Xenopus tropicalis: one gene and its partners. The main gene of each other region encodes a partner of the protein of the gene in region 5 in a complex. Links are inferred from orthologs where the notes say so. Each region holds a gene or a part of one and is shown on either strand. Other genes may lie near its edges. The genes, in order: hat1, eed, chd4, cdk2ap2, rbbp7, chd5 and cdk2ap1.

Region 1 (4,007 bases), on a different chromosome or scaffold from region 5:
TATAGGACCCGTTATCCAGAATGCTCGGGACCAAGGGTATTCCATATAAGGGGTCTTTCCATAACTTGGATCTCCATACCATAAGTCTACTAAAAAAAACAATAAACAATTAATTAAACCCAGTAGGATTGTTTTGCACCTAATAAGGATTATATATATATATCTTAGTTGGGATCAATTACATGGTATTGTTTTATTACTACAGAGAAAAAGGAAATCAGTTTTAAAATTCTGAGTTATTTGATTAAAATGGAGTCTATGGGAGACGGGCTTTCTGGATAATGGGTTTCCGGATAAGGGATCCCATACCTATACAGTAAGATCAGTGTACAAAATACAGCATTTCTAGTTATGGTCCTTTAGGCTTTTGCTTATTATAAGTTAAACAGGTCACTGTGTTCTCTGAAGATATGGGACCTGTTATCCAGAATGTTCGGGATCTGGGGTTTTCCAGATAAGGAATCTTTCTGTAATTTGGATGTCCATACCTTGGGAATAAACCCGGTAGGATTGTTTTGCCTCCAATAAGAATTAATTATATCTTAGTTGGGATCAACTACAATGTACTGTTTTATTATTACAGAGAAAAAGTCAATCATTTATAAAAAATTTAATTATTTGCTTAAAATGGGAGTCTATAGAAAATGGCCTTTCCGTAATTTGGAACTTTCTCCCTTCATGACGTCAGAGATGGGCAGGGTTGGACTCATACCTACAAATACTACTGACTCCCCAGGTTGGGTGCTGGTCAGCCAGCACATCACCAATTGGTACTCCATTGGATAGCAACTGCAACAGAGAAATATCAATTTGTGCATTACACATGTTAACTTTGTAAAACGTAACTTCCTTGAAGAAATGATGGTATGGTAGGAAGGAAATATAGACACCTGTTGCATTATTATATTATATACAGTTACTGATGTTGTATAGCTTTGGGCAAGCAATTTTTCATGTACAGTGAGTGGCATTTTCCATTTATTTCACTGAAAAGTTTGTAGAATTATTATCATTGTCTTTCATCAGCTGAAAGGGATAATAATATCAGTAAGAGAGACGTAATGTCCTGCTTTTTTTTTTTTCAAGTTTACAATAAAAACATAGAAACTCCTTTGTCTGTATAAGTCTCTATTCCTCACAGTTTGAAATTTATCTTCTCTTTTTTTGTTGTGGTTATTGAATTATTTAAATTATTTGTCCTGCAGCTGTCAAACTTGAAATTTCAACTGATACGCCTAACAACCAGGAAGTACTGTAAAGTCAGATGGCAAATGAAGAGTACAAGGCCCAAACAGAAAGAACCAGATTACCAGATAGCCTTTTAGGTACATACTACAAATATATACAGTACATTATATGCTTGATTTACAGGAATAGTTGTGAATAGTAGGCACAAGTAAAGCAACCTATAGCAAATCAAATCTAATTTATTTGCTTGATGTAAGTTTGACCAAAGAAAGCAAATGTCTGCCAAATGTCCCATACAGAATTATATACATTCTTGGAGTACAGTTATCGGACCCCTTATCCGGAAGCCCATTATCCAGAAAGTTCCGAATTATGGAAAAATCATCTCCCATACACCCATTTTAACCAAATAATTCACATTTTTAAAAAATGATTTCCTTTTTCTCTGTAATAATAAAACAGTACCTTGTACTTGATCTCAACTTAGATATAATAAATCCTTATTGGAGCCAAAACAATCCTATTGGGTTTAATTACTGTTTAAATATTTTTTTTAGCAGAGTATGGGCCGTGACACACGGAGATTATTTGCACCGCGACTAATCTCCCCGCAATTCCATCCCACCGGCTACAATGTAAGTCGCAGGTAGGGTGGCATACGCGGCGCCGCGATTTGCCTAAGTTTCCTCTCAAGGCGACTTCGGGAAATTGTGGCGCCTCATATGCCATCCCACCGGCGAATATATATATTTATTTTGCCACCATTGGGATCATACTTATACTGAGATCTCAAACTGTTGTTGGGCTTTTGGCTTTCTTATAAACCCACTCTAATTTTTCGGTCAATGTTCTTTCCAATTAAGACCCCTCTGGTTCACAATAGACATCACCTTCAGTGTAGGGAGCGAGTGTCCTGTATATTACTAACATTGTATGGGGTTAAGCCCTAATTTATTGTACCCACTTTCATAGCAATACATAACAACTCTACAAAAATAAAAATATTACAATCCCATTATTTTTTTTATAGTAAGCATTGACTTAAATATAATGATTACATTTTGTCCCTTGGGGACATTTTATTTTTTAAATGTTTATTTAATATGCCAACTCAAGTGTTTTGCTTTATGAAACATGACAAAATGAAATGGAAGAGGCAATAATTTTACAGGCTCTTGCGTGTTTGACTGTTAGTTATAGTTTGATTGTTATGTATGTATATGTAAGACTTTAAAGTAGAATTATTTACCTTGATAACTTTAAAATCCGGGCTCCCCTTGGTTGTCAAGAAGTGAGTTTAGGGCTTAATACATAAACACCCATGTTCTGTTCATTCTTATGGGACTTTTAAAAGTGCATTTATCAATGAGTGGAAGTTAGAGTTCACCATTTGATAAATACTCTTCTAAAAATCCCATAGGAATGAATAGAACGTGGGTGAGTTCTTATGTATTTAGCTTTAAACTCACATTTTCATAAATCTGCCCCTAAGGGGCTGATTTACTTACCCACGAACGGGTCGAATGGAGTCCGATTGCGTTTTTTTCGTAATGATCGGTACTTTGCGATTTTTTCGTATGTTTTGCGATTTTTTCGGATTCTTTACGAATTTTTCGGATCCAATACGATTTTTGCGTAAAAACGCGAGTTTTCCTATCCATTACGAAAGTTGCGTAAAAAGTTGCGCATTTTGCGTAGCGTTAAAACTTACGCGAAAAGTTGCGCATTTTTCGTAGCGTTAAGTTTTACCGCTACGAAAAATGCGTAAGTTTTAACGCTACGAAAAATGCGCAACTTTTTACGCAACTTTCGTAATGGATACGAAAAACTCGCGTTTTTACGCAAAAATCGTATTGGTAACGAAAAATTCGTAAAGAATCCGAAAAAATCGCAAAACATACGAAAAAATCGCAAACAGTTCGTTTTCAAGTCGGAACTTTTCCAATTCGGGTCGGATTCGTGGGTTAGTAAATCAGCCCCTAAGTGTTGAAATAGGAAAGTGCTTTTACATTGTTGGGCGATGGTAAAATGTCTGCAAACCCACAATTAGTTTTATGAGTTTTTAGATATTTTGACTGCATCTAATCATACATAAGTGCAAATATACATATTTATCTAAAATTATTAACTGGCTGCCCTAATTATTGCTTGCTTATTCTTTAGGTCTCTCTGCTATGGAAAAGAAATTAGCCGAGTACAAATGTGACACAAATGAAGCAATAAAGCTAAAATTAGGTATGTTATCATGCAGTTTATTACCTTAACTTGACTTTAATATACACTTTATGGAGTGTAAAATTAGATTTTATTTAGAATGGTTTTGCTCCCTTTAACTGGGATGTTCTGGTGAAAATGTATAAAACATTATGAAACAGGCAGAATATATTGCCATTTTAATATCAGTGAAATTCCTAAAACAATAACAACTAGCTATTTTTTTGATACAATAAAGCCTAATTATCAAAATTCGTTTTTTCAAAATAGAAAAAAATATGAAAACATTAACCAAACAAATTTGTACTGATTTATTAAAAAACTCAAGTATAAAATTAAACCAATTAAAAACACTTGAATGCAGCAAATTTGCAATCTACTTATAATTTTCAGCGGGTCTAACTAAAAAAAAGGGGGGTACTATTCTTTTGAGCGCTAAGCCACGATCTTGCCTCCTGTCCCTAGAATCCCCTGAGGTTCCCCTGCAACACACACAGTTGAGTAAAATCAGATCTTGGAAAGTAAAATCCAAACACTTAGGCTAATGTCCCACAGGGATATATAGTCACTGCGATTTTTAAAAAGCGTGTTGCTCGTCTTTTCCT
Region 2 (3,500 bases), about 74 Mb from region 5:
GTACAGCTGGGGTGTTTGCTACAGAAACCCTACTATAGTTTATATAAATACCCCGCTGTGTAGCCCCGGGGGCAGCCATTCCTGCACTGGTACAGCTGGGGTGTTTGCTACAGAAACCCTACTATAGTTTATATAAATACCCCGCTATGTAGCCCCGGGGGCAGCCATTCCTGCACTGGTACAGCTGGGGTGTTTGCTACAGAAACCCTACTATAGTTTATATAAATACCCCGCTGTGTAGCCCCGGGGGCAGCCATTCCTGCACTGGTACAGCTGGGGTGTTTGCTACAGAAACCCTACTATAGTTTATATAAATACCCCGCTGTGTAGCCCCGGGGGCAGCCATTCCTGCACTGGTACAGCTGGGGTGTTTGCTACAGAAACCCTACTATAGTTTATATAAATACCCCGCTGTGTAGCCCCGGGGGCAGCCATTCCTGCACTGGTACAGCTGGGGTGTTTGCTACAGAAACCCTACTATAGTTTATATAAATACCCCGCTGTGTAGCCCCGGGGGCAGCCATTCCTGCACTGGTACAGCTGGGGTGTTTGCTACAGAAACCCTACTATAGTTTATATAAATACCCCGCTGTGTAGCCCCGGGGGCAGCCATTCCTGCACTGGTACAGCTGGGGTGTTTGCTACAGAAACCCTACTATAGTTTATATAAATACCCCGCTGTGTAGCTCCGGGGGCAGCCATTCGTGCTGGAAAATAGGAGAAAAGGCACAGGTTACATAGCAGATAACTGATAAGCTCTCTAACCTGTGCCTTCTCTCCTTTGAATGGCTGCCCCTGGGGCTACACAGCAGCTTTGGTTATATAAACTATAGTAGGGTTTAAGAGCCAAACACCCCAGTTGTTACCAATACATTATATTCTAATTACTTTTATACACTTTCATTTTTTGGGGTCACTGTTTCTTTAAATTGAAGCAGGTTATTTAGCAAGCTGATTAATCCTCTTATTTACATTTCTTTTTCCTAGTGTAAAGTGGGTGGAAAATTTCTGTTGCATTAGATTATTCAGCCACAAAATCAATTTGTGCTTATTATGCAATGGTGTTTTTTTTTTTCCATTCCTGCAGGAAGATCACAATCAGCCACTGTTTGGGGTTCAGTTTAACTGGCACAGTAAGGAGGGAGACCCGCTGGTTTTCGCTACTGTTGGAAGTAACAGGGTATGTATGGGAATGTGATGGCAAGCTATTTACAATGAGGGGGCAGCTGGGGCAGGGTTTCCCTTTCATTTGCCAGTCATTTCACTTAAGGGGAATTAGTTTGCCTAGTAAAACTATACATCTATTTTTTTTTATAGAACCTGGACTTTCTAATTGTTTTGTTTAATTCCACTTCTTATGGGTCTAAAAAAAAAAAAATAGATGTTGCCAGTTTGCATAAGATGTGTTTATATAGGGATATATCACTAAAATGTTCTATATGTGAAAATACTGATACTATTTACTGAATAAAACTGATTTCGAAATCTGCATGATTCATGAATGTGCCAATGCCAAATATGTATAGTTTTATGGAGTGTCAATAAAGTGATTAAAGAGGCCAAAACGAAAAATTTGCCTGGGAGGCATTACTGTTCCTTTACATAAAGATTTAATAATGCAAGTATAAGGTAAAAACTTGTTTATAAAAATGTTAATGAGGCTTTTTGCAGCTATTGCTCTAGGGCAGTGATCCCCAACCAGTGGGTCGTTAGCACCATGTTGCTCCCCAACCCCTTGGATGTTGCTCCCAGTGGCCTCAAAGCTGGTGCTTATTTTTGAATTTCTAGTTAGGAGGCAACAAAGGGAAAGTTGTGCTCAACACTGCATTTTAAACCATTAGGCGGGGGTGCAATGAGGCTGTGACCACACAATTCATATTTGATGTAGTTGGCCAGCCTAAATATATTGCTATATATGGAGTAACAATCCCTGTTTTGTTTGAAGGGGAGGGATTCCTTCGTTCCACTAGAATGATCTAAGGATATTTCCTTAGATCATTCTAGTGAAACAAAGGAATCCCTCCCCTTCAAACTATGGGTTATTGCCCCGGTGCAATGCAGCAGTCGTGTTGGTAATTGATGCCTTGTATTTTCCTGCTTTCTATTCATTAATATTTGGTCTGCGTTGGTTATTGATGATATAATTGCACCTAGGCACACTACTTTTTGAAATGGTGTTGCAGAATGCAAGTCCATTGGGATGTTTTTCTCATTTGAAATTTTGATGTAAAGGGGACATAGTGTGTGAAAAACAATATGAATTGGACTCATAGAAGGAATGTGTTTTCAAATGTACTGTTTAGGGCTGATTTATTAGAAATTTCAACAAAAACCCCACTAGTCCCGCCCATCTGTTCCACTTCCTGCTGCCTTCTTTCCCGGGCTGTGCAGGGGGGCCAGTGGCACTCAGCACACTGCACTGTAGGATAGGAACCAATCAGCAGCTAGGCTGACCTGATAGGGAACTGGAGCCTTCCTTTGCTTGTGTGACTGCTGGGCTGTGATTGGCTCTCCCCCTTTTACTGTGCTTCCGGCAGGGACATTTAGGACATTGCTACTATTATATACTATATATACTATTATATATTATAAGGTGTTCCGGCTTTCTGTATATTTCTGCGAGATATCGCTATGCATATCCGTGGCCCCTCTGTTCTAAGAATGTTTGTTTTTCTCACATAGGTAACGTTATATGAATGCCACCCACAGGGGGAAATCCGACTGCTGCAGTCCTATGTGGACGCCGACGTATCCTTGACGAGTTTTGCTTTTTGCTGAAAATATTTGGAATTTGCAGTTAATTGTTGTTCACGGTTACAATCTAGGTTCCCAATCACATTCACACACACACACACACTAGTTGTTTCAGAAGCCAGGTTACCTGGCTGTATGTATTTGGGTGTGGGAGGAAAACAGGGTACCCAGAAAAAGCCACACAAACTCGGGGAGAACATACAGACTCTTTGCAGAGGAGCCTAGGAACCCGGCGCTGCAGGATTAAATCCAGGATTTGGTTCGGGATTTGGCCTTTTTCAGCAGGATTCAGCTGAGTCCATGGACCTGGCCCAACAGAATCCTTTAAGTCACATGACCTTTTTGTCACATAAACACGGAAGTTGAAACATTTTCACCTCGTACTTTGCATATGGTTCTCTTTAACCATTCCACAGCCTTATTTGTATATTCCAATTAGGGTTCGTTATTTAGCCAAATCTTTTATGATGGATTCAGGGTTCGGCCATATCCCAAAATAGTGGATTTGGTGCATCCCTAATCTTTAACCTGGGTATTTGTGACCCCTCATGTTAACTGGGAGTGTGCTAATAGTCAGTAAGAGCAATTAATTTAATGATTCAGACATTATCTATCAGTGGGGAATTGTGGGTGTCATGAACTGGGGTGCCTCTCCGCCCTTGGGTCTGGGACTGCGACGGATTCCATGTACAGCTTTTTCTCTCCTTAATTCTTACATTCAGGCAGATGAGAACTTTTATACTTGC
Region 3 (4,019 bases), on a different chromosome or scaffold from region 5:
TATGAGGTACTTTAATAGCCAATTTAGAAGTTACTGAGTGATTTATACTTAGTTAGCTGGCCTGGACTGGCAATCTGCAGATTCTGACAAATGCTAGAGGGGCTACTATAACATGCCAAAAGACAGTCACTATCTATTGCGCTTGTGGGGGGGCTGTTTGGGCCTCTGTGTTACTTGCCAGGGCCTATCTTGAATATTAGCCTGGCCTTGCTAGTTAGTACCATGATGTCTGCCTCTGGCCTCAGAGGATCCTGTTATAATGTTAATGGCACATTTATGAGGTATTTCAGTAACCATTTTAGTTACTGATGCTGAGGGATACTGAGATTTATTCCTGGTAGTAGATAGTATAAACTTACTACCGGTAGCACATTTATAGTAGCCAAGTTAGAAGCTGAAGGCATACAGAGATTTATCCCTAGCAGTAGTAAGTAGTATAAAGTTACTTGCACACATATATATAAGGTACTTTAGTGGCCAAGGCAGGGAGTTGTCACTGAAGCTGAAGGCATACTGAGATTTATCCCTAGTAGTAGTAAGTAGTATAAAGTTACTTGCACGTATATATAAGGTACTTTATTATTACAGGACTCCATTATCGGGATACAAGGAACAGATGTAGCCAGAATTGTGTGCCACAGATGACCGGATGCTATTTAGGGTATATTTTAGAAGCAAAACATTATGAAGGCCTCCAGTTATTATAGGGCCACAGATATTATGGGGCCCATACAGGAGGTTGCCCAGGTATATCAGTGTTACCCTGGAGAGAAGCTATTAGTCCAGGGCCATAGGAACCCTGTATTTGGAACCACCTGACAATGTGGAGAGGTACTCTGATAGGAAGGACTTATTATGGGATGCTGAGGGTAATGTTACTTACTCTGGGATGCCAGTGTGACTATTATGGGATGTCAGTCTGTGTCTCTTGTCTCTATGGCATGTCAGCAGGACATATTATGGGATGTCAGGCACCCTTAGGTTATTATGGGATGGCAGAAGTTGGTTATTATGGGATGTCAGGCTCCCTGGGTGTTATTATGGGATGCCGGGAGGTATTATGGGATGTCAATCTCACTCATGTTATTATGGGATGCCAGATGGAGTATTATGGGATGGCAGGCTCTCTCGTGTTATTATGGGATGTCGGGGGCCGCCCATCTCCCCGGCAACGCGCTGGTTGCTATGGTAACTGGGCGGGGGCAAGGGAAGGGGCGGGATTTTTACCATCACTGCCGGTGTGTCGGGGAGAAAGGAGCGGGAGAGGCACCGGCTGGAGGCAGCGCATGTGGAGCGGGTATGTGAGGGGCTCTGGGGGGGGAGAGGCGGCTGGCCCGGCTCGGGAGGGCTACGGGCTCCTTCACGAACTTACCGGGATTGTGTGTCCGGCGGGGGGTTCTGTCAGGCTTAGTTCCGGGGTGTCTATTCCCCGCAGCGGCCGGAGGGGGGGGGGAGTGGGTGACATGGGGTGTCCCTCCGGCAGTCCGCCGGGTACTCCCAACTTCCGGCCCCCCAAGTGCCGCCTCATGGAGCCACAACTGCGTCCCCTGCCTTTCTATTGTGTTCTGCCGGGACCTGACCCGGTGTGCCCCCCTCGGTACCGGCCTGATACTGACCCGGTGTGCCCCCCTCGGTACCGGCCTGGTACTGACCCGGTGTGCCCCCCTCGGTACCGGCCTGGTACTGACCCGGTGTGCCCCCCTCGGTACCGGCCTGGTACTGACCCAGATGGATCCTCTCAGTACTGCCCCCCTTCATTACCAGCCCTCCCCTCCCCCTCACTACCAGCCTCATATTAGTCCATTTCATTCTGTTATTAACCCATGTGTTCCCCACTCGGTACTGGCCTGGTACCGGCCCATGTGTGTCCCCCCTTATGGGTTCAGTACCTTCAGTACCGGGCCCATGGACCCCTGGCCTGTGCCCCCCCTCCTTATACTGTACCATGATCTACCCCCCCCCCCCTATACCATCAGGATTGTGGCCCTTCTGGAACCTTTTCATAGTCCTGTGTAGCCGCAGTGGCCACTTGGGGCCAGTAGCCCATACAAGTCTATGCCCCACATAGGTCTGTAGCCCCAGTATTAGCCAGTGTCTCTGTACCATGTGTAGTGGCTGCAAGCCCCCTGTGTAATATATATCCTCTGGGATATACCATCTGGAACTCGTGTGACCCATTCTGGCGCTTGGCAAGCTGGATCCATTCCGTGTTGCCCCAGGGGATGTATGGCCCATGGGAGCTGTGTCCGGCTCTGTGATACTGAGCACAATGGCGTGAGTCTGTGTGCATTCTCATAGCCACTCGTAGATCCGTGCTTCTGGCCTATAGAAACAAAGCAGCGTCCCTTGGCAACTGGAGGGATGTAGTTGAACTACAAGCTTGTGCTTATTTAATGTGTCCTTTGTCCTTCCCCGTCCCTGTGCTGCTGTATGATGTGAGGCCTTTGCTAATTGCATCCCCTCCTAATTGTGACGTCGGCTGTTTCTGTGCCACCACACATTACCTGGCCAGCATGGCTTCTCAGTAGCCTAGTGCCACTGGAGCAGATACCGGGCCTGTACTGATGGCACATTTGGGCCTATGGGTTTATATATAGTTCTGTGAATAAAATAAGCTTGTACTTACCCATGTGTCTCTCCTCACAGCACCCTGTCCAGTGCCAAACAGTGAGCCCCCCACCTCAAACATCGCCTGCTGTTCTCTGCTGCTACTTCTCACCCCCTGGTGCCATTTTGCTCCGTCTTGGACATGGCCTCCAGTCTGGGACCTTCTTCGCCCGGCAGCGACGGTGAAATTGAAGTGATGCTCAACAGCAGCATCCATCAAGGTAAAAGAACCGGAAACGGACCCGTGTGTGTCGTGCCTGTTTTATAAGTGGGAAAGGAGGTGTCTGTATTGATTTCCCATAGTGTGTGTTGTAGGTTGGTGTGTGGCTCTAGTAGCCAGTGTTGAATTTGCATGGGTTGTATATATAACAATGTGTAGGCCTTCCATTGGGACAGAGCCCACAGTGACCTGGCTGGTTCTGGACGCCGGGTTCAATATGGCAATTTATTTATACTATTTCCTGTGTTCCATCATCTTTGGGACTGATGTTAGGGACTCAGGTCTAGGCCTCCTGGGCATATGGGTAACTGCTTGTTAACCCCTTTTTGGTATGGTCTGTGGCCTGAACTGATTGGCTGTCAGATGTCTACTGGCTAATACTGTATAGAGTGCTCTTTGTAAAGGTGCATTTAGGCAGTTGTGGGCTCAGCCCAGGCATTGTTTTGCTTCAGGGTGTGTACATTGTACTGGCTCTCTGGGTTCCAGTATGACGCCATTTATGTATACATTTGGGTGTCACAAAGGGAATGAAGTATTGAGTTGTTAAGCAAAATGAGTGTTTGTGGGCCTGCATCAGTTTCTGGCGCTTCTGGCCCTTTAAGGACTTGATGCCTGGATTTGTGCACATAGCTCTGCCTTGTGGGTTCCTTGGGGCCCTTTGTAAACCCTTTAAGAGTACTGGTTATGGTTCTCTCCGGACCTTCCAGCCTCCGTTTATTTGTTTTTATTATTTACAATAACAAATTTCTTTAATTCTGTGAAAGTGTTTTTAAAATAGCAGAGCTTGAAAGGGCAATGCAGATAGTGCTGGGGGGGGTGACTGTTGGCATACCCCCCCCCCCCTTCCCCATGGTAGCTGTCTGCCCTAAACCACAAAGCAGGTAAATGGCCCCTGGAAATGACTGTTGTTCCTAGGGATCCAGCCAGTGTTGCGGCTCTGGTCGTATGGGGTTATCCATTATAAATACTGACCTCTGTGCCCTGGATTGGGGATTGGTCTCACACCTATGCTGGCCATATAAACAGATGGTGGCATGTTCTGTATTTATTGGCTATGGTGTGTGTTGGAAATGCCGGATTCTGGGTCTGTGGAAAGCATGTAAAGTGTAAACAGTGTCCCCAGAAGCAAAGTGGCTTCCCGTGTAGTTGCCGGCAGGCTGGCGAGGAAGGGGAGCCACTTCCTGCAGTTGTC
Region 4 (4,125 bases), on a different chromosome or scaffold from region 5:
TAATTGCTCACTATAGCAGATATAAACAAACAAGGTGTTGTTGAACTTAGTTTTTCTGCACTTTATTATGTGAAAACTAGATAAATGAATGTTCTGCTACAGGTATGGGATCTGTTATTTCCAAATTACGGAATGGCTGTCTCCCATAGACCCCATTAATAATCAAATAATTCTAATTTTTGAAAATGATTTCCTTTTTCTCTTTAATAATAAAACAGAACGACGTACTTGATCCCAACTAAGATAGAATCAATCCTTATTGGAGGCAAAACAATCCTATTGGGTTTATTCATTATTCAAATGATTTTTTAGCAGACTTAAGGTATGGAGATCCAAATTACAGAACAATCCCATTCTGGATAATAGGTCCCATACCATACCTCTCAACATTTTGAAAACAGAAAGAGGGGCAAATTTTTTTGACTATGCCCATTTTTGAAACCACACCCCCTAAATACCACTACCATTTGACTAATTTGGCAGGTTATTTAAAGGTTGAACACATTTCTGGAGGTTTTGGGGTCCTGTTTTATGTGTTATTAGTTTTGTTGAAAAAGCTAAAATTGTCTTTTAAGCTGCAAATCTCAGATCCCCCAAGAGACCTACTCTCTGCCAAAAGCACACTTAATTAAATTTGTATCTTTTTTAGCTTCAGTGCAGGAGATCAAAGGGAAATGAAGGACTTTTCCAGTAAGAATTCAGGACTGCGGGTTAAGCTGTCAAAAGGGACTGTCCCTCGAAAATCGGAATATTTGGGAGGTATGCCATACCTGTATTTGCATTTTCATTTTTAAAGTTGAAACTGTTCACTCATATACACTTTGCACTTCATTTTATAACTAAATGAACAATTTAAATATATGATCAGGAGTCAGTTAATAAAATATACTAAACTATATATTGTTTTTCTTTTAAACACTTATCTTTGCATCGATATAAGGGTTCTGGAGAACAACTACACCAACATGCTTGGGAGTAAAAAATTTCTTGTGGCAAACAAAAAAGACCACAAAACAGAAACATTGGAGCAGCTACTATTTATTCAACAAACGAATTGTTATTAATTTCTCTCTTACAGCTAACTAAATTACTATGTACCCAAAGCACTTTTGACTAGCTTCCCAACATCGCCCTTTTTAAACTCATCCAACAAATACTGCAGTAACGTGTTGAACCCCATACACAAGCCAACAGCAGACGACGCAACCAGTTTTATGTCGCGCCTACAGACTCTGTGCGTGCAATTGTTCACCCCTTCCGCATCCACTCCGTCAGACGCACGTACCTACGTATATGGTCCTTGAATACAGGATGTAGTACCCCGCAGGACGCAGAGGCAAAGCAAGCGAATGGTAGGTTGCTTTGTCAGCAGAATTTGAGCCCAAGGGCCTGAGGATTTCTATCTTCTTTAAAAAATGATACATCACATCCGGGCTCCGTTCGTTAATTTACTGGTTTTTGACAGTTTTTTTACTAGGTCGCCTAGTGGGTAATCCGGCCTTGCGGAAGAGGCACGTCTCGGTAGTAAGGTGTCTAAAGTCGAAGGGTGAGCGTAGTAGTTAAAGCATGTCGTATAAGCCCATCGCCCCTGCGCCTTCTGGGAGTAATAGTGCCCCTGGCACTCCAGGTAACAGAGTAATATAGGTTGGTTTATAACATTTTTTTTTTAAAGTTTTCTTTAAAGGTAAATGGCACGACTACAGATTATTGGTATTTTGGCGCTCTGTGGCAATTGTCGGGACCTGTAGGTGTTGCAGGGATAGTCACCAGACCCCCAAGGGCAATGACACAGCACCTGAAAATACGTTGATGTCCACATAAAAGGAAATTGCTGTGTCTGAGACAGTTTACTTGCGTACACTGTTGTAATAACATGAAAATGCAGTGAAAGTAATTTTTAAGATATTACCTGTGTGCAACTTTTAGATCTCTACATTTGCATTTTACAGTACTACAAGTTTGGCTGAATAAAGCCTGAAATTGCTATGTATATCAAAAAAGGATATAACAATTTATTTTTTAATATATTATTACCTGTTAGCGCTGCTTACTAACTGGTAAATTGATTGTGGCAGCACTGAGGGTAAGGACTATTTCTAATTTGTACTTAGAATTGCTGTGTGTGCCATTTTTCTAATGCTGCAAGACTTTTGTTTGCTTTAATTCAATTGTATCTGCTGAATCTCTAGAATATCAAGCATACTTTTAGGCTTTGCCAGCATTTACTTATTGTTGCTTGGTTGGATTTCTCAATTTTACTTCAGCTTTAAAAATCTATTGCATTTAACTGTTTTATTAGTGTTAAGATTTATCTTTAAGATACATTATAAAATATATATACATTTATTTTTTATAATATTTATAATTTATATACATTATAAAATCCAAGCAGTTTTTTCACTGATATGCCCAACTAAGGTGGCCAAACGATTTGATCAACAGCAGGATACAGGCCATCAGGGCGAGGACTTCATCAATGAACCGATGCAGGCAGATACGTTGCCGAATTGGTCTGAATTTTAGGGATTAAGTCCATGTCCTTTAAGGTGTCCATACACTGTAAGATCTGCTAATTTTGCAAGGTTGTTAAGCAAGTGGATCTTCTGATATGCCCACCTATGGCGGGCATAGGTGCCATTGGTTCAGGGACTGCATCAGCGAGCCGATCCAGTCCCTGATCCAACTGAAAAATTAAACCTGCCCGATCGAGATGGGTATTTATCTGGCCTAAAATCAAAGAAATTGAGCCGCCCTATCAACAATTGTCTGACAAGTCCACCTGCATTTGCTTGTGATTGGCATTTAAAGAGGCAGTGTACCTCCTTGTTTAACTTGAGTTCAGTGAATAGGACTTGTATGTATGTATTTATATTTTAGCATCCTTGTAATAGACTGCACCACCACTGCAATATCTCCTTAAAAGCCCTTATTGAAAAAAGGGTTCTGACCCACAGCAATGTTTCAGACCAACACTGGTGTTTTATCAAGCTACTGAAACAGCTAATATCCGTACATTTTTATAGTGTGATACAGTGACTATTGGTAAAATTGGTAAATTACAAACCATTCATTGTGAAATATTTCCATTTCAAACTACATAACTACCATTTGTTATATTTTAAACATTTTTACTTTCAGAGGCTTTTTGTGCATTAAGCCATCCCCATCATCCTTAAAATAAGCAACCTGCAACAAAAACAGATACATAAAACCCCAATTAAAAGCAAAAATTTAAAACCCATAATTTATTTTTCTCATTAAATCACAGATAAATCTTAAAGGAGAAGGAAAGGTAAAAACTAAGTAAGCTTTATCAGAAAGATCTATGTAAATACAGCCATAAGCACTCACAGAAACGCTGCATTGAGTTCTCTGTCAAAAGAAACAGGATTTGTTGTCTCCTTGTTTTTCTCTGCCAGAGACAGGCAGCTCTCTCCCCCTTTCCTGCTCCCCCCCCCCCTCAAGAATGCTAAGAACTCCTTCCCCTTCTTAGGAATGTGTGATCTGAGCCAATCAGCAGGAAGATTCCTCATAGTCTTACAAACTGATCATGTACAGTGTCTTGGTCTTGGTGCAGGAGCGAGGCATTATGGAAACTTTCTTTACAGAGCTCGGAGTTGTTTTTTTTTTTTTTCCTATGAGGCTTCTGATCATCTGAACCGGAGAAATATGGGGAGACCTAAGGGCACTATTGAGAGAACTGAAGATATACCTGCATCTTGAGATGAACTCTTTATTAGCCTTTCCTTCTCCTTTATATCAAATTCTCTATTGAGGTCATGGGGCATTAATGTCTCCAAACTACGTATCCATCTTGCTTCTTTATTCAGTAAAATTCTCTATCTATTAATACTAAAAAAAATCAAGCTGTCTCTTATTTTCTCACTACAGGCCATGAGGTGCAACAGTTAAAATTCCTGATCATTGATAATGCCCCCCCCCCCCCAAAAAAAATAGAATGAGAATTTTACTGGAAAAAGAAGCAAGAAGGATACCTAGGTTGGAGATGTTAATGCCCCATGGCCTCGAAAAAGAATATGATTTAAGTAAGATTTGTCAGCGATTTAATGAGAGAAATAAATAATAGGTTTTACCTTTTTTTTTTGCTTTCAATTGGGGTTTTAT
Region 5 (4,203 bases):
TTATGCGGCTCCTGACACAGCGCGACAGGCCCTTTTATAAGGTTGCGCACCGTGCGTACGTGTGATGTCATTACGCACGGGGTGCAACCTTATAAAAGGGCCTGGCACCGCCGCATAAGGAGAGAAGTCGTAGACGAAGACAGAGCGCCTATGGGGTACTGTGTATGGGGGGCTACTATGTATAGGGGGCACTGTGTATGGGGGGGCTACTGTGTATAGGGGGCACTGTGTATGGGGGGGTACTGTGTATGGGGGGGCTGCTGTGTATGGGGGGCTGCTGTGTACGGGGGCACTCTTTATGGGGGGTTACTGTGTATGGGGGGGCTACTGTGTATAGGGGGCACTGTTTATGGGGGGCTACTGTGTATGGAGGGACTGTGTATGAGGGAGCTACTGTGTACGGGGGACACCTGTGTATGGGGAAGCAAAACTGCTACATAGTTATAACTCACTTATAACTGATTGCCTTCTCTCTATATTTGTATTTTAATGTTGGAGTTGCTATATTGTTTTCCTTAGGTAGTACAGTATGAGGGTATAGCACATTTGCGTCTGATCCCACCATTTCATCTATATAAAAGGAGTATTTCTTTTTAAAATGGGGTGTGGTAATTGGGGCGTGGCAACAAAAATGGGCGGGGTCAAAATTGCCTCCAAGTCTTTTTGTCCCTCTTTTCATTTTTCAAATGTTGGGAGGTATGCTTAGGGTAGCAAACCAGTAAAAAATGACATTTAAAACAAGCATTACGAAGGTGGGCTTTTACTTCCAGAAGAGATTTGCACCCTAGCCCATCCAGGCTATCCTGCTATATCTACGTTTTCCAGAACACAACACCAATTGAGTTTTCCTCTTTCCTATTAATCGCAACCCTATCCACTGCCAATTTTGTAGGCTAAGCTGTTAAACCCCGAGGTCTGCGGCACTGAATACATTTCGTTCTGATAGTGGAAGATAGCAATTCTAACGATCACGAAGCTCCCGCATCCCTTCGGCTCAAGCTTTTGAAAACTCTATCTTCTACATTTCCCTAATGAATGCTGCTCCACTGCTTGAGAACGGGAAGGTTCCTACTTAAAACAAATGTTATCGGTATAATAGGTTCATACTTCCTACAGAATAACTACCTAAAATTATTACAATTCACTCCGCACATTAGGAAAAAAAAACACGCTACTACTTTACGCCATGCCAAAATTAAACATGGCCGCGAAACTTTCGGCCTCCCCGCCTCCTTTTACGTAACCAGGTTATTTTCCTCTGATTGGTCAGCCTTGTCCTAGCGTTTGGCGCTAGCCCTTGCGTAAGCGAAGGCGACGGCGGCGGCGTGCCTGTCTGTAACTTTGGCGGGGGATGTTGATGCTGCGTCACTGGTAGTCTTTCTTCTTCTTGTGAGTGTTTGGCGCGGGAAGCTGCAGCAGGACCGGCACAAGCGCGGAACACTGGGTTTTTAGTCACCGCGAGGCCGGCGGCCCTTGCATCTGCACAGGAGTAGAGAAGATGGCGAATAAAGAGAGTAAGTGGGCAGAAAGCTGCTTTATGAGCACGTTTTGGGTTTCTAAAGGGACGGTACTGGGGATGCAGGCATGCTATCCGGGTGCTACCGATTATGACACAGTTTTATATTAAGAAGCTGTGGCCGCTTTGTTTACTGCACCGCTTGTGGTGTGTATGGGAGGCATACCGGATTCTCTTAGGCCTTATCCTACCGCGTAGGCTTGCTGGCTACGGTCCCTATTGCTGGCCTGTAAGGCTCTGGGCCCTCAATTAGAAGAGGGAGTTTATAGTTTGGCACTGTAAGTCGCTACATTTAGTTCCACTACAAGCCAGTTGCCAGGCAGTATTAAAAAATGTAAGATGGGGGATCGACAAAGTGATGAGAATTTTAAGTTAAAACACATTTAGAAATGTAGGTATTGCCTTGTGTAAAGTTGGACTGATCTTTCTTGGGAAACAGAACCAGAGCTTTCTTACTTGCACCACAATAAATGTATGGCATGTGTAACTTTGGTCTGACAGGCCAGACGGCATCAGATACGCTTGTCTGGTGTCTGGTGAAACTGGTAGAATTCTTCACAGGCTGCACACACCTATTCCATCTTTAAACATTTCCTTACATTAAATCCTCCTGTTCTTTTGAGTGATTTACTAATGAGTAAGGTATCGGGCAAGTTTTTTTTTTGTATGGAATCATTAGAAATGTGTTCCTTGTGCCTGAAGTTGTAGAAGTTTCTGCGCCTACAGGGGCAAGTGTGCCTCATAAGCAGGCAGATAGGTTTTTGAGGTGCTGTGGCTCTTCCTTGAGGGCCCATAACTGTTAAACATGCACAGGGCTTGGGCTAGTGTCAGATGATCAGCATCTCAAAATAGAGAACACAGTACAGTTATCCAAAATGCTTGGTACCAAGGGTATTCTGGATAAAGGATCTTTAAGTATTTTGGATCTCCATACTTTGTCTACTAAAACAATCAGTAAAATATTAAATAATCCCAATAGGATTGTCTTGCATCCAATAAGGAATAATTATATTATTATTATGCTCTCTTCACCTCTTGTATTGGTTATTTATTGCTTTATATGTTACTCTGTATGTCCAATGTATGAAACCCACTTATTGTACAGTGCTGCAGAATATGTTGGCGCTTTATAAATAAGTGTTAATAATAATAGATCCCATACCTGTACAGGGTTCTCCTATGGTTACAGTACAGGTAGATAAATGCCAGCTGATACTGATGAATGTTGTGATAAGTGTTCCAATAATCACTTTATCTTTTTGTTAAAGGGATAATGAACTTGCGGTGTGTCTTGCTGGACACTGGCTATATGGGCACTGACTGATGTTATGGTGCATCCTATAGATCTGGGTCTGCCCAGCAAACCAATGCTGCTTTCTTCCAACCATGCTAGTTAATCACCGGTGCCACCTACTCCACTTGGTGTAGCTGTTCCGTCTGTGTATTCAGAGAGGCTTCAGATGGGGTTTTTTTGCCTTCCTCTGGATCAGCTAGTAGTTTGGCAGGTTATATATAGGCATTATGGTTGAACGTGATGGACGTATGTCTTTTTTCAACCCAACTTACTATACTATGCTGTGTAGTTCTTATTTCTGGTAGAGCACAGTGGGGAAAATATGTCACTCAAATGATGTTGGATTAAGTTTACTTAATAAATTATCTGATGTTTACATTGAAGCAACTCTGGTTCAACAACAATACATTGGCTGCCTAGTTATACATGCACACCTTATGCAGCATGTAAATGTTTACAAGCAATCAGTGCTGAGAGGTTTGTTAACAGCCAAGTTTTTGTACGTCTGTTTGACCTGACTAAGCAATTTAATGGTTTTTACTGAATTCAAACAGTAATGCATTCTATTCTGAAACATTTTATAATTTTTTTTTCTCTCTAGTGTTTGAAGATACAGTGGAAGAACGTGTCATCAATGAAGAGTATAAGATATGGAAAAAAAATACCCCATTTCTGTATGACCTGGTTATGACCCATGCACTTGAATGGCCAAGTCTAACAGTTCAGTGGCTCCCGGATGTGACTAGGTGATTTTTTATTTTTAAATTCATTTAATAGCAAATTTTAGTTGTTTTACATGATATTTAAAGCATGGTTAACACCTATTGCATTTTAAATACAACATAAGTAAATTGAAAATAAAAAATGATTGATGAACTTTGTATAAAATACTTGTGAAAAAAAACTTTAGTTCCTAGTTGTTGCTCTGTGCTGCAACCAAATACAATTGTAGAAATGCAAAAAATAGGAAAAAAACTTCAGCAGGTTTACTGCAAACCAGTTATTTTGGGTTGTGGTAACACGACATGTTTCGGGTCAATACCCTTTATCCTGCTGAAGCTTTTTTCCTATTTTTTTGGATTTCAACATTATTAAATTACCTAAGGAGCTGTGGGTAGTATCTAAGATTAAAAAATCTATATCATACTTAACAGATTGCCGCTGCCTTTAAATTTTATTTTCTAGATCAGTGCTTATTTTCAGCAAAGTGGGCCAAATATCTAACATTAAATTTTTAGGGGCTTAATTGTATTAACATTTTTCATCTTGTCTATGTGTACTGTGTATACTGTATACAAAGCGCAACAAGAAGCAAATTACATTTGCACATATTTATTAAGTGAACAGTATCCGTACCACAATACTTATATCTTAATTCCAGTACTAAATTTGC
Region 6 (3,988 bases), on a different chromosome or scaffold from region 5:
TCCCTGGTGACCTATAATATCCTTATTATGCACAGTAGGGGATACTTTGTCCATTTTATCTTGTCTTACTTCCAAGCCTATGCCAGGGAGAGTGAATACATGAACAGTCAGTGTTAGAGCACAAAGCACAGCTGGGTTCCTAACAAGCTAATATAGACATGTTCTATAAAATACTGCTCTAATATCAGGACACCTATGAAGGTCATAAAGGTATTGTGAGAAAAAAATGTTTCTCCAGAAAAAGCTAATTCTGAGCTATTTTGGGAAACCTATTCATTTACTTATCCTCATGCCAATTAGAGAACTTTGTATAATTTGTTGTTTATATAGGTATGGGATCATATAAACAGAACATTCTGAATACAGGTCCCATACCTGTACAGTAATATTATTGGTTAATTGCTATGGCACTGGTAATGACAATACAAACTATAAAGATCTTGGTAAAAAGTAGGAAAATGCTTTTTTTCTGGGATAATTAATATATGAAGGACATGATAATGGGAACAAAGGCTATTGTCATTTTTGTATTCTTTAAAAGTAAAAGCCTCCCTTTTTCAATCTCAAAATCAACTAGTTGAGAAAATGAGACAGACATTACGTGACTAACAAACAACCCCCCTCCCAGCACCGTGACGTCACAATAGAATTGCTTTATACCAATAAAATTATAGAGGGGAGAGGCCACTGACAGAGGAACAATGTCAAACAATATAGTATAGTGGGATGCTTAAGGTTTTCTTGCAGTTTTTCCTGGGATTTAATATTTTTTTAAATAGATATTTATACAACATTGAAATTTGTTTTCTGAAGACAGGTGACCCTTAAGGTAGATAAGTTGTAAAATGCCAACTGTCATGTGTTTTTCAAGTTTAGTGTCAAAATATGCTCAGTGACATATAAAATGAGTCTAAATCAGTCCTTTGCATCGCTTATCCAACTTATCTGAACTATGTCATTTTGCTCTGACTAGTTGGATTAAAGTACACCTCGTTCAACTCTATGAACAGAGTTGTGAACAGACATTTATCTGCCTGTTCACACAATGCAATCAAATCTGAGTCAAATGGACCGGAAGCATAGGGCAACTTGTTTCCAGACCACCATACCACCAATTCCTATGTAGATTTCACATAAAGCACATTTTCATGCCATGAGCTGAATCTGGATTACAGCCAAATGATTAAAACACATCTCTTTTAAATCTGGATCAGGCTGTACTACATCAAAATCAAGATGTGCAACTGTGCAGTTTGAGCTGAATCTCATTCACCGCTAGGCACAATCAGAAGCACACAGTAGGATATAGTTCTCTAAAGTGAATGGAGCTGGAGTTCCTGGATGAAGTTCTCCCTTGCTATTTCCCAACAGGACTGGCATTAACAGTGACAGATCCCAATGCCGCCTTCCAGTGCTGAATACATTTTTTATTCTACGCACATGGAAGAACCTGGGCGTGGTTATGTTGGGCAATTAGAACCTCTTTATGTCCAAAACATTACAACAAGGAAAGGGAAGAAAATAAAAACACTTGTCCCTTTGCTGTCTAAAAAAGTATTGCCAATATTCTTTGGGAACAGTGTCCTGTTGCTGCCAACCTAGCACTCCAAATCGATTTCGGACCACGATTTTGTATTATTATTATCCAAGTAAAAGTAGTACACTTTCCTACACTTGATAATAAAGTAACAGGGGCCAAAAATGAAAAGATTTGTTCCAATCATGACATAATATTACAACCATGTTCCAGAAAGGTACCTAGGTTATACAGAAATGATATATCTGTAACAGTTAGATTTTAGCATTATATGAGAAGACAAGTTGTTAGTAAAGTAGGACTTGCAGAGGGATCAGATGGCAGCAATGTGTAGGTTAAATATGACAGGCTGCACCAATACATGCCCAAGCAGCCGCTGAGTGCATAAATAATGTGCTTACAGTCAAATAAAACAAAGCACATCACAGCCATTTTCTCTGCTGCCGATCCATGCAAAGGTTCAGCAATGCAAAGAATAAAAAAGGAAAGGAAGCACAAGAAGCAAAGGGACGGCGCCGGTATTAAGAAATAAATGCTGCCAATATACATGCCTCTCTATGGCTTCCTATTGGGTTTGGTGTGTAATAAGCTCCCTGGTGACTTGTCCCCGGTGGCCATGAATACTAACAGACAATCTTTGTCTTGCTTCCTCGCCCTCCTGCACGGGATTGGAGAGGCGCAAAACTTTAAAACGACAAAGCAATCCTTTATTAACAAAACGAGAGATTTGCCGGTTTCGGTTCCCTCCCTTCATGTCTTGTGCAGCCCCAGTGTAAGGGGCTCTGTTTCCCTCCCCGGCTGGGACCCACCGGCCGCAGCACCTTGCCCTGAGATCCCTGTAATCCTCCTAACAATCTCCATTCAACACTTGGCCCCTCACTCGCTCATTATTCAGCCTACCTGACATCTCTTCATTCTCCATTTCTTCTATCGGGTCCTCTTCAATCCCCAGCGGACCCCGCATATCCCACCTCCTCCTCCCCAGATCAATTTCAGTTTCTTTCGCAATCTGGATCCCAAAAAGGCTTGAGATATTAACCCATAGGGGTGCAGAGGTGCTCCAGCCGCCACTGCCTACCGCTGACTGGAGGTACAAAAGGGTGAGGTTTATTTTTAAGAAAGATGGCTGCCTAGTTTTTTTTTTTTTAAGAAAAGAAAATATCCCCCTTGTCTCTCTCCCTCTCTCTGCCTAAATCCCCCAGCCTGAAAATAAAAGAGAGAAGGAGAGAGCGAAAAAGAGAGAGAGACAAAAATGGAATACACATGCCCAGAATGTGACGTCCAGTCTGGTTACCGTGGCAACTACATCCCATAATTTTGGCAGAACTAGTTAGTCGTGATGCCAGAGGAGACCAAGTCCAGTACTAGTTAGAGAAGGAAGAAGCGTTCGAGAAGAGGATGGCAGGGCTTTGCCAGGGGGGCTGCGAGGGGTGCAAGTTTGTGACTGAGAATAAATGTTAATAATAAGAAGATTTATTTTGCTTGCTGTTGCCACAGGGAAATGAACTTGTGCTCCTTCAGGCTGCAAAGTCGGATGGAAAGTGAATAAATGAATGCCTCACTATACACACAGTGCTGAAGGTACTCAGACTTCTCAAGTTCAGGCAAAGTTGAAAAGTGCTGAGCAAAAAAAAAATCCTTCCTTGCACAGGATTCTAACTGCCTTGTACTTCCCTCTTGGTTCTGAGGAGGATGGCTGCCTGCCTGCATGGCTGCTTCTACTTGTGCAAATTCAAATTAGACTGAAGGTTTTCATCTTTTGGTGTGGCACAGATAGCAGAATTCTTTTTTTGCAACTGGTTTTCATTTTTTGTGGCTTTTAAATTATTTACATTTTTTTTGGTCTGCAGGTCTAATGCTAAGAAGTTAAATCATCTCTGCTTGCTTAGGGTTATTTACCCCCAGGGGCATATTTTTATAAGCACCTGTGGGTATGTGCCTGGGGTAGCAGCTTCAGAGGTATGGCCCTTGTGGGTTTATTTAAAAAAAAATTACCTCCCCAAGCCTGTGCCAAATGAAAGGGACTCCCAAGACAAGACTGCATTCATTTGCCCCTCCAGGCTTGTTGCCACCCCCCTAAGCCTCCTCTGCTCGTCACCATCATGTGCTGCTCCAACCTCAGCAGCCAGTCGGCACACTGACTTCTTGTAAATTTACAGAAATCCAAAATAAGAATGGGTTGGCAGTTGTGGTATGCGCCTAGTAGTGATGTGCAGGCAGGCCCAAAACTCATGGGTTTACCCAACACCCAAATATTCTTTCTAGTCGTTTTGGCCAAACTCTGCTATCTTCCCACCCAGCCCCTAACTTTACTATGACTCACTTCCGTATCTGGTATGTTGTATTTATTGTCTTGCACCTGCTCCTGCCCTAAGTGAAGTCCTCACTAGGCCTAGTGCACCCCCCTCCCTCCCCCCCCGCCCCGTTGCACCTTAGGTACATGCATTTTCT
Region 7 (2,547 bases), on a different chromosome or scaffold from region 5:
CCGGCGACTGCTCTTGTTGCCAATGGAAAGCGGGTGACTGAACCGCCATGTCGGTTCTTACCCTAAACGTGTTTCCTAGCCCTGCTGTATTTATTTGAATTAGGGTGATCGGGCACCATTTCCCTTAATAGCTCTCAATGCTATCTCTTCTCTTAACCAGAAGTCAGCAATTGTTGACAGCATTATAGTGAGCTTTGTCAGTTGTGAATATAAATTTATGTCAGCTGGAATAGGAAGAGAAACATCAATTAACAATGCAGATGCTATTATGAATTGTGGTCCCAGAAGCTGCTTTTACTTCCGGTTTAAAGCAGAAACAAACCTACAAACATTTTTACTCTGCCTGGTTCCTGATTTCTAAAAATGATTTTGGGGAAAGCAAATAAAAAAACAAAGGGCAGTAGAGGGAACTTTACAGGCTGTAGAGTGAGTTTACAAAACAATACCTCTCCCTTTCATACTTCTTCTTGCCTTCCTGTATTATTTGCTTTTTAGCACAGGTTTTCAAGAGAGCAATATCTCCGGGAATATCATCTTAAACCAACAAATGTATTTTTATTTTACTTGTAATATTGGTGTGTAGGCAGCCATCTCAGTGCATTGTGTGAGTCTAAGCTTTCAGAAAGAGCCAGAGCTTCATATTAGAACTGCATTCAGGAAAACTATTGTTTCTCTTACTCCCATGTAACTGGAGGAGTCCCAAGCCAGATTTCTCAAGGTCCCCATACACGGGCCGATTCTAGCTGCCGATATCGGTCCCTTAGACGATTCGGCAGTTAATCGGCCCATGTATGGGCACTACCGACGGGCCTGCCCGACCAATATCAGGAGTCGGGTGCTATAGCCCCGAGTCTCACACTTAAATCAGATCTAAATCAGATGTGTAGACACGAAAAGGTTTGTAGGTGGGGGATATCGGGAGAAGATCCGTTCGCTTGGCAACATTGCCAAACGAGGGAGGGGTGTGATATCACTCCAGCTCAGCAGTAAAGTGTGACTGAAGCACAGGTCACATGGCTGTGGCACCCTGGAAAATAAAGAATATGGCTAGCCCCATGTGAAATTTCAAAATTAAATATAAAAAGACAGCCCTTAAAAACCAGGAACATGCATGGGTGGGGCTTTTTATCCAATATAAAAATAGGAGCATGGATATAACGCCTAATTCAAAGCTTTATTAATGTAACATGGGAGGAAGGTAAGAATAAAGTTTGGAGATGTGAGGAGATCCAAGGATTTCTTTCACTTCTGCTCAGATATGCTCTTTAGAGACATCAGGCTTGTGAACAAAGCAGTGCTATTTAGCCAACAGTGTGAATGACCAGTTGAATATCGGTTTATTTGCTTGTGCATAACACCCATTAATGACTAGTGGGTTGTTTTTTACTTGACCACATCTGGAATCTTTTATTGTAGGTTTCTAATAGTAACCAGGTACCTCAGAGCAAGTATGCAGAGCTTCTTGCCATAATTGAAGAGCTGGGTAAAGAAATTAGACCAACATATGCTGGCAGTAAAAGTGCTATGGAGAGACTTAAAAGAGGTAAGAATAATATATTTTCCATGTCATTTATATTTCGTTGTTTTCTTATTAAATAACAATGAAAGATTAGTTATCTGGGGGGTTGATTTGTTGGGTATGTCCAGAGAACCTTATTTGTAAGCTTGGAACCAGGGCTAGCATTTCTCTTTGCAAAGAGATGCACCAGCTCAGGGGACTTGTCAGTAGAACGCTGTGGTATCATCCTTGTCTATATTGCCAGTGCTGGACCAGAGCACATTTTACCAGGCCATTGCATCTTCTTCCAAAAAAAAAACAAAACGCTACGCTGTAAACAAAAACACTTGTTCAAAGTCCTCCTCACAGTAAAAAGTCATGCATCATATCATGATGTGCTTATTGTTTATGATGGGAATACTATTTTTATCATCTAAGACAGTGCTGTCCAACTTCTGTTGTACCGAGGGCCAGAATTTTTCCGACCTACGTAGTGGAGGGCCGATAATGGAAGCCAGTTTTGACCACTCCCCTTTTTGAAACTGCACCCACTTGAAACCACACCCATGTTATCACATGACCATACCCATATTAATGGTTGTAGTACAGCAAAAACCTGCCATACTCTGCCTGCCCTACCCTGCCTTTGTGTGTGCCATACTCTGCCTTCCCTACCCTGCCTGTGTGTGCCATATTCTGCCTTCCCTACCCTGCCTGTGTGTGCCATACTCTGCCCGCCCTACCCTGCCTGTGTGTGCCATTCTCTGCCTGCCCTACCCTGCCTGTGTGTGCCATACTCTGCCTTCCCTACCCTGCCTGTGTGTGCCATACTCTGCCTGCCCTACCCTGCCTGTGTTTGCCATACTCTGCCTGCCCTACCCTGCCTGTGTGTGCCATACTCTGCCTTCCCTACCCTGCCTGTGTGTGCCATACTCTGCCTGCCCTACCCTGCCTGCGTGTGCCATACTTTCACTGTGTGTGCCATTCTTGGCTGGTTTGTGCCAAACTTGGCCTGTGTGTGCCATACTCTGCCTTCCCTACCCTGCCTG

What was found.
Region 1: rbbp7 (region 5) and hat1 share a complex: the UniProt entries of both Homo sapiens proteins name them as parts of the type B histone acetyltransferase (HAT) complex. The link is inferred for Xenopus tropicalis from reciprocal best matches to the Homo sapiens genes RBBP7 and HAT1.
Region 2: rbbp7 (region 5) and eed share a complex: the UniProt entries of both Homo sapiens proteins name them as parts of the PRC2/EED-EZH2 complex. The link is inferred for Xenopus tropicalis from reciprocal best matches to the Homo sapiens genes RBBP7 and EED.
Region 3: rbbp7 (region 5) and chd4 share a complex: the UniProt entries of both Homo sapiens proteins name them as parts of the nucleosome remodeling and deacetylase (NuRD) repressor complex. The link is inferred for Xenopus tropicalis from reciprocal best matches to the Homo sapiens genes RBBP7 and CHD4.
Region 4: rbbp7 (region 5) and cdk2ap2 share a complex: the UniProt entries of both Homo sapiens proteins name them as parts of the nucleosome remodeling and deacetylase (NuRD) repressor complex. The link is inferred for Xenopus tropicalis from reciprocal best matches to the Homo sapiens genes RBBP7 and CDK2AP2.
Region 6: rbbp7 (region 5) and chd5 share a complex: the UniProt entries of both Homo sapiens proteins name them as parts of the nucleosome remodeling and deacetylase (NuRD) repressor complex. The link is inferred for Xenopus tropicalis from reciprocal best matches to the Homo sapiens genes RBBP7 and CHD5.
Region 7: rbbp7 (region 5) and cdk2ap1 share a complex: the UniProt entries of both Homo sapiens proteins name them as parts of the nucleosome remodeling and deacetylase (NuRD) repressor complex. The link is inferred for Xenopus tropicalis from reciprocal best matches to the Homo sapiens genes RBBP7 and CDK2AP1.

The regions. Positions count from the first base shown.
Region 1 is NC_030685.2:67,598,447-67,602,453, reverse strand, and holds the start of hat1 (histone acetyltransferase type B catalytic subunit), read left to right. Parts: upstream 1-1,207; 5' UTR 1,208-1,264; coding exon 1,265-1,325; intron 1,326-3,351; coding exon 3,352-3,423; intron 3,424-4,007. UniProt on the Homo sapiens protein: Histone acetyltransferase that plays a role in different biological processes including cell cycle progression, glucose metabolism, histone production or DNA damage repair. Coordinates histone production and acetylation via H4 promoter binding.
Region 2 is NC_030678.2:168,816,792-168,820,291, reverse strand, and holds part of eed (polycomb protein eed), read left to right. Parts: intron 1-1,087; coding exon 1,088-1,180; intron 1,181-2,682; coding exon 2,683-2,748; intron 2,749-3,476; coding exon 3,477-3,500. UniProt on the Homo sapiens protein: Polycomb group (PcG) protein. Component of the PRC2/EED-EZH2 complex, which methylates 'Lys-9' and 'Lys-27' of histone H3, leading to transcriptional repression of the affected target gene.
Region 3 is NC_030683.2:10,084,815-10,088,833, reverse strand, and holds the start of chd4 (chromodomain-helicase-DNA-binding protein 4), read left to right. Parts: upstream 1-1,219; 5' UTR 1,220-1,297; intron 1,298-2,646; 5' UTR 2,647-2,749; coding exon 2,750-2,828; intron 2,829-4,019. UniProt on the Homo sapiens protein: ATP-dependent chromatin-remodeling factor that binds and distorts nucleosomal DNA. Acts as a component of the histone deacetylase NuRD complex which participates in the remodeling of chromatin.
Region 4 is NC_030683.2:59,556,217-59,560,341, forward strand, and holds the start of cdk2ap2 (cyclin-dependent kinase 2-associated protein 2), read left to right. Parts: upstream 1-1,325; 5' UTR 1,326-1,352; intron 1,353-1,465; 5' UTR 1,466-1,566; coding exon 1,567-1,627; exon of another isoform or gene 1,628-1,644; intron 1,645-4,125. UniProt on the Homo sapiens protein: Acts as a component of the histone deacetylase NuRD complex which participates in the remodeling of chromatin.
Region 5 is NC_030678.2:94,690,838-94,695,040, reverse strand, and holds the start of rbbp7 (histone-binding protein RBBP7), read left to right. Parts: upstream 1-1,403; 5' UTR 1,404-1,498; coding exon 1,499-1,514; intron 1,515-3,411; coding exon 3,412-3,556; intron 3,557-4,203. UniProt on the Homo sapiens protein: Core histone-binding subunit that may target chromatin remodeling factors, histone acetyltransferases and histone deacetylases to their histone substrates in a manner that is regulated by nucleosomal DNA.
Region 6 is NC_030683.2:98,649,840-98,653,827, forward strand, and holds the start of chd5 (chromodomain-helicase-DNA-binding protein 5), read right to left. Parts: upstream 2,801-3,988; 5' UTR 2,502-2,800; coding exon 2,438-2,501; intron 1-2,437. UniProt on the Homo sapiens protein: ATP-dependent chromatin-remodeling factor that binds DNA through histones and regulates gene transcription. May specifically recognize and bind trimethylated 'Lys-27' (H3K27me3) and non-methylated 'Lys-4' of histone H3.
Region 7 is NC_030677.2:161,142,306-161,144,852, forward strand, and holds part of cdk2ap1 (cyclin-dependent kinase 2-associated protein 1), read left to right. Parts: intron 1-1,416; coding exon 1,417-1,543; intron 1,544-2,547. UniProt on the Homo sapiens protein: Inhibitor of cyclin-dependent kinase CDK2. Also acts as a component of the histone deacetylase NuRD complex which participates in the remodeling of chromatin.